Linked DNA regions of Drosophila melanogaster. The protein of the gene in region 2 interacts with the protein of the main gene of each other region in a pairwise test. Each region holds a gene or a part of one and is shown on either strand. Other genes may lie near its edges.

Region 1 (7,345 bases), on a different chromosome or scaffold from region 2:
CAGGAGTGACTTTTAGAATTATATCCTGCGGATTCGGTAAGTCTGAAAATATATACTATATTTTAATGAGAACTTTAAAAGCAGTTTCCTTATGCAAAATTACTTATCCTTGATGCTTTCGACTTTGATCATTTATGAATTAATCGAATATGTTTAATATTTAAGGCTGCGAAATACCAAATTCAAGGCACTGACAATAGAATCAGTCTAAACAATACGCCATATAGTCTTCCCTAGCCAGATCCAATTATTCCCTGTGTTTCGCATCACCTATTGATCTGCAGATCCTTTTCCATGGCATTTCGCATGATCCTGGGCAAATAAGCCGATCCGAGAGCCTCTGGTCCTTGAAGTGCCTGCCTGTCAATGGATGCCAGCTTTTCACGGCGATCCCAAATCAATCAAAGGATCTGGGTCCTGTGAACACACACAGACACACCAATACCAAACCCCACCCCCTGCCATTGCCCGCCAGGCATATCGAGTGGGAAAGCGGAAGAAAAGGGAAAGCAGTGGAAATCGAAGGAAGAAGGACGAAGGACGAAGGAGCCAGAGGGAAGCTCTGAGCAAATACAAATTCTAAATTATGGCCCATAATTCAGGGCCAGGTTTTAATAATTTTGCGCGCCCCGCCGGCGAAAGTAATGAGAGAAAGCAGAAGCAGAAGGTGAGGGAGCAGAGGAGCTCGCCTAGCCGTGCTAATCCCCGAGCGAACAGCTGTCCGGCCCAAGGATTGTGCATTGTGGGTCCCTATGTGTGATTCCTCGGATTTCCTCAAAACTCGGCCGCTCTGTCCTGGCGCTATCAGTGTGCGGCTTGTGATTCAAGATTACCTTTTCCCTACCCACTTTTCACTTTATCTAGATGTCCTTGCCGCCGCACGTTTCTCCAACGATGGCCAGCGGAATGGGATCCTGCACAGAGAGGAAAAGGATATACATTAGTTTAGATTTATGGGCACATATTTTATTAAGATTATGCGGAAACTTCAGTTAACTGGATTATTCTAGTAACAGGCATTGAAGAATTGTTTGAATATTTACTATATCATTCAAGACTGATTTTTAACCATTTTCAAATCAAATATTATGTATTATACAGAAAGATTCCATTAGCAGCCAAAGTTTGTCTTCTTTTTAAAATACCTATAGTACTAAAACTTTTATTTATGAAATTGTTGTTCAAATTCGAAAAAACCCAGAGCTAGATTTTTTCGACGTGTGTAAGAAAATGCCATTGATTGGGAAAAGCGATTGGAAAACGGTAGCAAATCGGAGCGTGAAGTCTTAGACTTATGAAAAATTGCACAATTGTTGGGCAATTTATTAGCGGCTGGGCTGGAGGAGGAACTGGATGATGGGAATGAAGAAGCGGAAAGGGGCTCCTCCTGCCCTAATTTATCTTCCTTGTCACCCTCTCCTTATTTTTCTTCGTAGCCTGCTCTGGCTGTCGCTCATCGATCCCTTCGGCATTATCCTTGGGCCTTTTTGGCCAGTGACCAATGCGTTAAATTGCCATTGATTCGGGAAGGACTGGCACGGATTATTATTGGAAAGATCACAGATCTTCGGGCACGCAGCTGCTGCTGGCCATCTTCCTTGATCTCCGCCCAATATTATTGATTTATTTCAATTTGCTTCGTTTTTTTCCCGAGATTTATCGTTGGTCACTCAGCTGCTGATCCATGTCCAGAATATTCACGTTTTATCCATATGAATGGTATGGAAAATTAGGGCCAGTTCAATTTGGTCTGGGAAGGTAGTGCCCCCCTTCCGAATGTCAATTTAGCGAAACGAAGGTTTGAGATTTATTTGAATAAACGTTTGTGGGAAAAAGTCGTAAAGAACTCAAATTGGTTCAATATGTCTAATATATATATATGCAGCAATGATTTTTCCTTAAAATAGGTGGATATTAAATACTGTATTAAAAAAGAAAACGTTCTGTCATCTTATGATGGTATTTAACCTATGAAGATGTCTTGTATTTTTGGAAATTCCCTTTGGGACTGATATATTTACGATCTCATTGTTTGAACTCGATGAACTCACAACACTTGAGCATATTTAATTGTGCCACCACCAGTTGCAATAAATTGTATCCTATAGCACTTGGTGGTCCGGAACTGCAGTGTCATATGAAATGCTAAAGCAGGTCCTGGCACTTCCTCAGCGAACAAAAAGTTGTGTTTAGTTTTTGCACAAAAACTGTCAAATAAATTTAGCAAGCAATAATATGGCGAAAGCAAATAGTAAAGATTCCAAAACTGAAGAATTGGGCAGATGTACGGTTGAGATTTAATTCTATTTTTCTCAAACGGACAATCGGCGGCTGCGAAAATATCATAAATTTGAGATCAGCAGAGAAAGCAGGAGGGAAAGTGAGGGAAGGTAGGAGCAGGACGGACCGGGAGCCCTTTAACCAATAAATTGCAAAACAATTGCACAATTTTCCACAACAATTTCCACAGGACAGCGATGTCCCATAAACAATGGGCCAAATTTGTACAATGCCCAAAGTTCCTGTTTGTGTTGTCCTTTTCTTGGCGAAAATCGTGAGAGAAGGAAGGAAAAATCGGAAAGAATTGCCTTGCTAGGGTCTAACGACTATAAGATACCTATTATTTAAACCTTTTATATATTTATGTTAGAAAAAGTTGGCAAATGATGCAAAACAGTTTCATCAATTAAACTAAATAATTGTAATCATTATTCCGATGAACTTGTTTAAACAACAACAGAAAGTCTTTTCAATATCAAATGAAAAACTAAAAATCCTTTAAGACCCAATGTTTTGTTCTAACTTCCTGTAACCCACACAATCACAGGTCTAGCATACTCTCAGGATCCCAAAAAAAACACAGGGTATCTTGAGGAGTCCAAGGTGAAAGGAGCCACACGCTGCGAGAAAGGTAATTGAAAATTATGTTTTGTGGCGCAAGCGGCGATGAGAACAGCTGTCCAACTATGCTCCGTCCCACTCACACGCTTCACAAGCGCCGTCCCTTTCTTGTTGCACGTAGGAATCCTTGGCCAACTGATCATGATCCTTCTCGGTGGCCAAATAAAAAATCTCACGATCGTGGAAAATTCGCACAGCTGTTGCCAGATCGTAAATCGATCGGTAAACGGTTATAAAAACTGAACATCAAGATAACGTTAATGTAGATCAAAGCGCAGCCTTCTGCTTTTCAATTTGTATCGCATTATCTAATAAATAGAAATATATTAGATAGTTTTGGGAAGTACGAGTCTACGAGAAGAGGTAATTGTATATATATATATATATATATACCAGATTCGATAAAAGGTATTGAAAGGGTATGCTTTTAGTTATAGTTGTTATCATGGGAAAAGTGAGAAATACGAATATTACAACTTATTTAAATAATTTATATTATTATCAATGTTGCAAAGTATCTTGCATAAGTTATTAAAGTCAAGTGGACTGATATCAGATGCGAAATACCTTTAATTACTATAACAACGAGTGGTCTCCCACCACCCGCTTTCAATGCCGCCGGTTGAACGTGCCTGCCGTTCAACTGCCTGATCTCTCCGCTCTCGCTCTCTTCCCTCTGCGCATGAGCAACATGTCCGTTCGTCGCCTTCTGCTTTCTCCCGGTTAAGGCGGCTAGCCAGTCAGTCAACCAACAACCGGCGAAGGGAACGCACGCAGTCGATCTTTGCCAGAAAAACGCGACGGTTGAAACGCAACACTTGGCAAAAAAAAAGCACTACATATACAAACTACCAAATAATCAATTCTTAAAATAAATCCGCGAACCATTTATTTTATTTTTTTGCTGTTGGAAATAAATATCAGTGCCGAAAAAAATAAACTACTGAAAAAGGTAAATTCAAGTGAACATCTAAAGATGACTGAAACTAAAAATGCAGTCATGTACAATGAGATCTAAAGGCTCATAAAAATAAATGGATATACCTAAAATAAATTACTTAAGTGCCTGTAAGATTCATGAATTCATTCATTAATGGTTATGAATATCTTTTCAAATAATTCCCAACATAACTGGATCAATGCAATTATAAATGCACAAAAATTCAATTTTTCGGATAACTTGTGATTTTTGGTTTTTTGGTATCCACTCAAGAGCCAAATTTGAATGCAACCTAAAAGTTCATTAAGATTTCATAAGAATAATTGAGCATATCAAGTTCAGAGTCAATTAAATTATTAAGGTCCAGACCAAAGGCTGCCCGTCGTCCATTTAATTGTCCGTGAGAGGAGTGGTTGATTTCGTTTTTGATTTCATTTTTGCCGCTTCGCTGATTTCGCCAAATCGATACACATCCATATACATATGTACATATGCATGTATATATGTATGTTTGTCTACATGCACATTTATCGCGGAAAAAGCGCGCCAAAATTGCCGAAAACTCGCCCGACAACTTTGCCGCTGCCCTCTTTATTTATTTGCTCCTTAAGAAAGTCAAGTTCTGGAATGCCAGAACCAGAAATACCCGCCCCCTTCCTAACCAGATTCCTTTGCTCTTTCCTTGCAGCACCCACTACAAAACCGAAAAACTAAAACTTCAGACAAAGAAGATGCTCAAGTGGGCCGTCAACCAGCCACGACCCTCGTACTTGGCCAGGGATGAGGTGATGGCCACCAGCAGCGAGGCAGTCGGCTCCAGCTACAGCGAGTTCCACGCCCTGCGTGGCAAACTCAAGAGGAAGTCGATCGGAGTGGCGCCAGGCAAGGAGAACCAGCTGACCTCCACGCCACTGCCGGCCAGCTCCTTGAGCCTCCATGCGCGCACACCACTGCTCAAGGACCTCAGCAACATCCTGGCCACGCCGCCATCGGGAGGAGCAAGTGGCGCTAATGGGGCAACTGGAGGTGTAACTGCTGTTCCCCTGAAGTTCGCCTGCACACTGCCCACCTTCGAGGCGGAGTACTCGCCCAATGCCGCCATCATTCCTGGCTCCCTGATCGCCCTGCGCGGCATGGGCATCCCGGACAGCTACTTCGAGAAGCCGCGTTACCTGGAGCAGAAGCCACTACCACATCCGCATCCGCATCCAGCACCTCCGACCGGCGAACAGAATACGCTCAGTTCCAGCCAGATGGGCGATGTGACCCTGGAGCGCATGATCGATGCCATCCTCGAGAGCAACCGCAAGGTGCTGCCCAACGCCAGACAGCAACAGCACCAGCATCAGCACCGCCAGCCCAGGCAGCATCTCCGCCAGCGGCACAGGCTCAGGCAGCAGGTGCTCCGGAGCAGCCACGGACACGGGCACGGCCCCACCCAGACGCCATCGCCCACCTACCGCCCCGCCTTCGATCCGGCCAGCGATCTGTGCGAGTACTGGAAGTCGCCCTCGCGGAGGGATTCCCTGCCAGCGGAGGGCTTCGAGGAGCGGGAGGTGCGCTCCCCCGTGCCCACCGTATCCGAATCGCAGGATGCCAAGCGGCATTCCCTGCAGCTGCGCAGGCAGCGGGTGGTGCGGCGCAAGCGAAAGATCACCACAAAGATCTCCTCCAGCGTCAGGCAGTCGGCGCAGAAGCTGCTTGCAGCGGCCAGGTCCGGATCCATAGCAGCTCCCGCCCAGAAGATGCGCCACATCAGTCCGGACAGTGGGCACAATTCCACCAGCGACTGCGAGCTGGAGGAGGAGCACTGCCAGCTGAGTCGCGGACTGGAGTTGGGTGGCGAGGAGCTGGAGGATGCCTGTCAGCTGGATGCCATGTGGTTGCAAGTGCAGGCCAGAGACGCCACGAAGAGACGCCTCAGCTTCTCCCTGGTGGAAGAAAGCTAATCCTCAAGGATATTCCTATACCATAGGCATAAGACATTTTTTTCATAGCCCTAAGAACGTTTTTTTTTTTTTTAATTTTTTGGCCAGAATAAATCATTTGGAATGCAGAATGTACGAAAAGAACCAAATTCACTGAGGGGCACACTGTCATAATTCGGTTGAAACCACAAGGAACCACCAGCAGTTTATGCTAAACACCTCTTGAAGCTCAGCGGTGCGTGGAAAGCAATTCCTCCAGAGCAGAGGGTCTGGGTCTTCTCATCCGTCTGCCCAAGTGGTCTTCTTTCTCACAGCGAGCTGGTTAATGAGCGTTTTAATGCTCCGATAGCGAGCTATAGGGGATTCCTCGGCAACATGGAACATAGAACTTGGCGGTAATGAGGGCCCTAAAAGGAAGGGGTTGTGCGACAATTGTCGCAAGAAAAAAAATATTATTTACGCTTCAAATGCCCACGAATTCGATGGGCAGGCAGCCAGCCAAGTTATGTGCGATCTAACGCGATAAGGTCTAGTACCTGGAAATGGAACAGGTATCACTTGCTCGGAACTCCATTCGAGTGTTATTAGCTCAAAGCGACCTTTGGAAAAGGAAGTTGCCTAACTTTCACCCGGGAAACTGCGATTTACCACTGCTTTCAGCGGAAACTATTCTCTGAAGGTATCATAAAATCATAGTGATGAGTTATGAAGCAAACCCAGTTTCGTAGATAATCCTTACATAATTAAGATACAAAATTTGTAGCCCAAAAACGAAATATAACTCGTTAGCGAACGGTTTGTATAACTAGGCTTCCAGCTGAGATGGAACCTAGGCCATTCCCACAGCTCCCGCTCCCCAAGGATCGCATCCCGCCGTGCGAGCCTCATTAGCCCATTAGCCAACTGGTCAGATGGATGCCAAGGAGCCCGGCCAGGCACCAACCATCCAAGGCCATGCGATCGATGGGTCAGCAATCCACTTCTGCGACGCGGCGTTAAATGAGCTGTCATAACATTTTGTCCAACCCTTGAGACGAAAGGAGTGGGTTAAGCCAAAAGCGTTAACACGTCTGCCAAGGAACCACCAATCCACATTCACATCCACTTCCCATGGCAAATGCTCAGTAGAGCGTGAAACTTTCTTATGCAGATGATGGGTTGACCATCAGTGCAGAGTACATTGTGCCATGTGACAGGGAAAACAAAGTAAAATACTTTATTATGTGATACCCGGCGAACTCCAGAACTCAAGTTTCGATCGCCGAACTAAGGTCGAGCGGTCAAGCAGCCCGCTCCAGGGAATATTCGTGATATACATGCAAATGTACATATGGATAACCCGCCGAAATCAGGGCAGGTCCCTTGTCAAACCCTCGTCCGCGCTCTGAACTTTTCCCAAAATTTCCCAAAAGGAATCGTTAGAAGAAGAAGAAGGTTCACGCCGTTGTAGTTACTTTATTTTTTATGACTCTCGCTTTTCTTTAGTTTTCCACAATGCGCTGCTCTGGTCTCCTGCCCATTATTATTATTATTATTATTATTATTATTATTATGGTTGTTGTTGTTGTTATCTGGT
Region 2 (6,516 bases):
CTGCACGCGCTACAAAATACTTGTAAAGAGAAACATTTCGTAGTACTTTGACTGTTAATAGTATCATCATGAAACATGGACAACTGATTTCGTTATAACCAGAGTGCCTTTATTAAAATAAATTAGATGTTCTTAAAGAATTGAAAATTCAAATTTCGATAGCACGTTCAGTTTCAACGAAACGTACATCGATATGCTGTGTCCCACATCTCTGATAGCTTATCTGTAGTATGACCCTCACACAAACCATTCTCACATTTTTTTCGACTTATTATTCAATAGAGAAATTATAACTGAAACTCAAAGAGCTTCACTCCACAAATGAACAGCATTGGCGAGGATTGCAATGAGCTAAAGAAGCAGTACGACGCCTGCTTCAACAGCTGGTTCTCGGAAGGCTTCCTTAAGGGCCAGACGGATGACTCGGGCTGCGCGCCGATTTTCCGGGTCTATCAGGAGTGCGTCAAGGTAAGCCCAGGTTTCAAGTTTCATCATCCAGCTGGTTGACCCAATCTTTGACCTTTAGCGCGCCATGAGGGAGCAAAAGATTGAGCTGCGGGAGGTCGGATCTGAGTACTGCACCGGCTCGGAGTACGACAATGCGAGTAGTTCCGGCGGAAAGACGCAACCCAAGACAAAAAGTTGACCCGTTACGCAGCTCCAGCATCCTGGCAACGGCATTGAATCCACAGTGGGCCAGAACCCGGGACACAATGACCTCACCGGTAATCAGCGCCGACACCAGAGTGGAGGAACAGCCTAGGTCTACCAAGTACCAGAAGCAGCTTTGGTTTAGTTCCATGACTCGTATCCTTATGTAAATTATTTAGTGAATGTTTTATAAATAAGTTCAAGTAGCGAACTATAAAAAATGTTATATTCAGACAGAATCCGTCTTTGAGTTTCTTAGAAGTATATACAAGCCTATGATTAGGTAATGGTCGCAGTTCTTATTATTGGTCGTATAAAAAAAAGCTTTTTAACGAAATATATAAAATCCATCTTAATGACAAAGTATGACATTACATGGCCTCCACGCTGATAATCCTGCTTATTGTGAAACAATAACACATATAGGTCGTACATTAATGGTAAATCCCATCGCCCAATAAACAGATCGGAGTACTTCCCCAAGAGAAAGGTCACTATTTCAACGATAAGGTGAGGCAATCTCACCTATAAAGAGGAGCATTAAAAGCTGCAGCACCACAATCTAAAGTTAACTTGCCGTTAATCAAGATGCAACTGCTGCCAATCCTCGTGCTCCTCGCTCTCCTCATCTGCGCCGCCTGCAAGAACCACGAGGACTGGGGAGGATACCGACCAAGTGACTACGATCCCAGGCCATATTTCCGGCAGTTCTAAATGATCACGAAACTCAACCCACAGGAAAATCTTTACGAAAAATCGATGCAACCATAGAAAGAAAATAAACAAAAAAAAAAACTAGGGAATTAACGTTGTATTTGTTAAAAACCAAAGCGAAGCTGATGCCGAAAAGGGTGAATTATTGGCAACCGTTTCTATAGTTTTATCTGAAACATGTATGAATGTTTTATGGCTTAAAAACTAAGTTTCACTGTCACAGTTAAACCAAAAACACAACTAATAAAAACTGTTTTAGGTGATGAAACTGCGACAGCAGACAATAGAAACTTAAAAACCTACACAACTTTATGCTTTAAGATTAAGTGGGACGAACATTCACTTGCCACCGGCAGTGAATTTGGAGAGCTTTTCCAGCAGACCAATGTAGGAAGTGTGCTCATGGGCAGTGGCTAGGTCCGACAGTTTTTCGGCAAACTCCTGACTGATGCCCTTCTCCTCCAGCAAGTTGATCAGCAAGTCGTACAAGTAACCGTCAAGCACGTCGCCTGCGACGGCGTAGACCTTATCGTTCCACTCGCCCTCGAAGATGGCCATTTCATCAATGGAGAAGACATCGTCTGAAAGGTAAAACCTGTGTTATCGGTGAATCAAAACGATTTCTGTCAAAGTACTCACTGTACTCGCCCTCCTGAGCTTCGCCTTGAAGGAAGCTGCAGGTAAAGGACAGCGTAGAGTTGCCCTTTATGATGTCCACCTCGAACTGGGGCTTGCTTCTCATTTCACCGAGATCCGGCTTGTCAGCATTGGGGTTGATTTCGGGCTCCTCCTCGCTGTCCACCGTATGGTTCACATTGAAGCTGACCACCACCTTTTCCTTATCCGTCTGCTTGGTGAGCTCCACATCGGCGCCGGTCAGTTTTACGGCGAATCCATCCAGGGTGCTTGGCACCGTCTTGCCCTTTTGAACCTTGCGCTCGGCCACTATCTCCTCGGTGAGGAACTCCACCAGTTCCCGCTCACCTGGATATAAACAAAGCGTTTAATTTTCTGTGTTTTGGTCAACATTTCGTCACCCAACGTTTGAGGTTATGTAACCGGCGGCATGGACCGCCCATGTAAGAATTTGTTGAGTTAACTTACATTTGGTGTGCACGTTGCAGCCGCACGTGCAATTAATGCTGGGCTTGTGGAGATTCAACACGGTTACATGATCGGATCCTCCGGCTGTCACCGGCTTTTTGGTCATGTGCCACAGGCTGCGGGTGAAATCGCGCTTGCCGAGAGATCCGGCACTGGAGCTGGCCAGAGCGGCAAATCGCATGGTTGCTGTCCTTAGGCTGTTCATTTTGTTATATAACCGCGACCTGGGCTTTTTACTTTAATTAAACACTGAAATGTGCAACACGCCAAAAGTGTAGTGCCTGGTGTGACCGTTGAATCTTATTCAGAAAATCACGAGGCTGATGTATTGTAGAGCCATATCAGAAGTTATCGATCATTTTTCGGCGCGAAAGGCTTTATCGTAAACTATTCAAATTTTGAAATTAGCCTTTATTGGAAAAATGATTGATTTCAATAAATATAACCAAACCATATTTGCTGTAAAAATTCAATGTTTCATAGATCCGAACCTATTAAAAGACCACATTGAGTTATGAAAAAAATGACGACTTTATTAGATTTACGAATTGCTTATCGGATGTATACAACAATATACACATTACAAGGACATACACAGTAATAAAAACTAAACACCATGAAGGGTTTTCTCTGGTTCTTGATCCTCCGAGTGGAAGACCCATTCCTACGCAATATTATCATGCATGCAATCAGACTCGTTCGTCATATATATCATTGTTTTTCAACCAAAAGGCATATCATTTCATCTTTCTAAAATTTCAATAAAATCTATCACAATATGAGAAATCATTACATTACGTTTTTTTTTGTAAGATTTAAAAATATTTTATATATAGCTTTTATCGGGATTTTCCATTTTTAAGACTTTCTTATGTTAAGATTTAGACATTAGGCGTACATATACGTATAAAAATATATTAATTACGATGAAAATTGCATTTTACACGTTTTAAAAATAAAATTGCCATTGTACATTGTATTTATGCAACTTCTTTAGTGGGACGGACAACAGCTTAGAAATTAAACATAAAATTATTAAAATGCTGATTTACGTTGATTGCCAACCAAGCTCATTATTTCCATCCAAAGCTTACAAGTTTAGCGTTAAGGCCTAGATTCGACACGATTTTATACTATTTATAAGGCTTGCTGTTGTTGCAGTGTTCATTTATTTTCGCTTTCTTGTGCGTTTTTCCATCTGATGATGTGGGGGCTGCGGTGTCAGTTCTTATCAAACAGCCTCATAGAAGTTTTCTTCGTTTCTTAGCCTAGTTCGTACTTTTAATTACATTCTATGTTCAATTCCTTATAGAGCTTATGTTAGATACAATTTTACGCTTTTGTTAGCCACAAAGCATAGAGCTTTAAAGTCTCTGTCGCATTCTGTTAGTTCTCCACAAAACAAACTCATATAGAATAATTAATCATTCAGTCTAACAAAATACTTGTTGAATATTCGATTGAATTTCGAGAAATAATTGGGGCTGGTCCGCTTCGGGTTCGATTTCGGTATGCATGATATGTGATTAAATTTGTACAGCTCTAATATTTGCACTTAAAGATTATACATTAAGAGTACACATAAGGGGCGACACAATCGGGCTGCGTAGCCAAGAGCCGGCACTCCTATTTTGGACAGCAAAGGTCGACGTCAGGGGAATGCGGAATGCTTCGGGTTAGCTCCAGGCTGCGGCAGCCCGCACACTACGTTGTCAATAAATTTAACTAAATTTTGACAAAGAAACTAAGCTTACGCAAATTTTACATCAAATTAAATTACAATACAAGCTAAGTAAAAAAGACGCAACAGCTCTGCTTCCTATCTTTCGGATGCGTTTCAAACGCATCCGAGACTGTCGTTTACATTATTCGCAAATTGGGTGGGGGGTTACTATAACTAACAGCAACATAAACAACGAAAATATGTTTTAGAGTATAGAAATTCGACTAATTTTGCAGTTGGCTGCCCTCACAAGGCCACTAGATGTAAGTGCGTTTCACTTTTGTCAGCGTTGACGTTTTGCAGGGCAGCTCTTTTTCCAAATGTTCCGTGGAGTTTTTGCACTCATGACTGCGATCCTTTTCTAAATCCAGATTAGGTGTTTTTTGTGTGGTCGTATAGGCATTGGAGCCCATTAACAGGTTGATGTCTTTGCCAGTATTTTGATGTTTAAATTGCCTGTCAAAACCATTTAATTAGAATTGTCCAATATGGATTTGCATCTTCCAAGATAAAACTTACATTGGCTTGCCGAAATGATTGCGGTGACTTTCATCCATTTGGGCCTCCATCAGGCGGCTCTTAGCCTTCACACAGCATATTCCTGCGATTCCACCCACAAGGAAGGTAAAGAAAACGATAGTTGTAAGTAGCATGAAGCTGGGCGTTGAAGCATATTTGATTTCATCTACACTGGCCGTAGACTTTTGGGGATCTGTCAACGAAATGCGAATATTAAACCACAATATTCCTAGGAAAATAAATATTAGTACTAACCGTTCAAATTCGGCATAATATCGTCGGGATCCATGGACGTAAGGGTGATCTTGTTCAAACCAAAGTCATCGCCACCAGTTGGCTGTTGTTCCAAGCTTGGCTGATTGCCCTGCGACGAGCCCACATTGGAGTACAAAAGCTTCTGCTCCTCTGTTGGCGGTGGAGCCATGGTAACAAAGCTTACTGTTTCCGCACCGGGTGCATCTCGGGGAATATGAGGACATAGCAAGGCAGCGGCTTTCTTGGTGCTATTCAAGCTTTGCAAATAAGTCTTTGTTCCGAACTTGTGCTGACTCGTAGCCAGGTTCTTGCATTCGTGTGTCTGTAAGTCCCAGGCGCAAATGGGATCCTGGAGACTTAAGCAGCCCAGACAGTCGACAATGTGAGAGCAGTGGTGCAGGGGCACGCTAACCAAGCTGCCATCGCTAACCACAACCAACGAGTTTTTCGAAGTGGAGATCACCAATTCCCTAATTGGCGTTCCAAGTGGAAGGACCTGCATCTCTGATATAACCACTGTCTTCAGGCGATCAACAGTTGAGTTCGGGTGAGTGCTCAGTATATTGATGAACTTGGTCACCTTGCCGTCATCGGTGCCACTGTATATAACATCGTAGTAAGCTCCACTTAGGGACTTTACCTGCGGATGCACTGCGATCGCAGTAAGTCGGTGGTGCAGATTCACCTTGGTCAGCAGCGGACGACCGTGCACTGCTGGCACAGCCTCCTCCATCAAGGGATGGTTCTTAATGAAATTAACCGCGATGCTGGTCAGAGTTCTAGAGTCCTCAACGCACTGTCCTGGACGTGGTTTCGGCACTTGCTCACGCTCCACTGGCAGCCAATGGGACTGTGAATCTTTCTGCGACTTGAACTCTCCATCAAAGGCGGCCAGTATATCGTCTACGTTAAATGCGCATACGGCCGAGCCAGGAATGGCATTCACAGAGGTTGTGAAGACAGCATAAATCAGTGACTTGGATCCGCTCTCCACAATCGGACTAATGGCCTCTGTAAATGGAGTTTGCAACAATTGAGATTATAATTTTTGTAAAGAATATCCAAAACGTCTATTAAAACTTACGGATTTCGTCAAAATAGAACGGAAACTCGCCGGGCACCGAGCAGTTGAGTCGCGCCTTAAGGAAGGAAGTCCAACTCTTGCCGTGACTGTAGGGACCACCTCTATCGTTCTTGCAAACCCTGGCGACGCGCGAATAAACGGCCTTGCCAAAGTTCATGACTTCCATTGAGAGTTCGCGGAAGAAGAACAGCACGTAACCGTTGCGCTCGATGGCGCCAACAAAGTCCGGCTGGTTGAGTTGCTTGAGATCATATTGTTCGGTACGCAGGTTCTCCCTGTAGATGAGAGGATCTCCACCCGAAAAGTCCGCCACGGTGGCGCTGTACAAATGCCCGTCGGCGAAGGCGTACGTGCTATTGTGGGCGGGGCTGTAGGGGCACAGGCCCTGGGCCTCCACATCTCGGCTGACTTCGTAGCGCATGGCATGGGCGTGACCAGCAGAGCCGGCCTCCTCGGATGACACTTC

What was found. The genes of interacting proteins can lie anywhere in the genome.
Region 1: the proteins of P32 (region 2) and CG12708 interact in a two-hybrid assay, tested with the Drosophila melanogaster proteins (2 studies listed by BioGRID).

Annotation. Positions count from the first base shown.
Region 1 is NC_004354.4:15,671,835-15,679,179, forward strand, and holds CG12708 (uncharacterized protein), read left to right. Parts: upstream 1-3,641; 5' UTR 3,642-3,853; exon of another isoform or gene 3,854-3,969; intron 3,970-4,529; 5' UTR 4,530-4,572; coding exon 4,573-5,790; 3' UTR 5,791-5,903; downstream 5,904-7,345.
Region 2 is NT_033778.4:17,669,861-17,676,376, forward strand, and holds P32 (P32), read right to left. Parts: upstream 2,781-6,516; 5' UTR 2,675-2,780; coding exon 2,470-2,674; intron 2,350-2,469; coding exon 2,005-2,349; intron 1,947-2,004; coding exon 1,705-1,946; 3' UTR 1,449-1,704; downstream 1-1,448. Other genes in the region: CG30109 (uncharacterized protein), read left to right, coding at 322-468, 527-646; IBIN (induced by infection), read left to right, coding at 1,240-1,365; Sema1b (semaphorin 1b), read right to left, coding at 4,450-4,648, 4,712-4,904, 4,967-5,977, 6,051-6,516.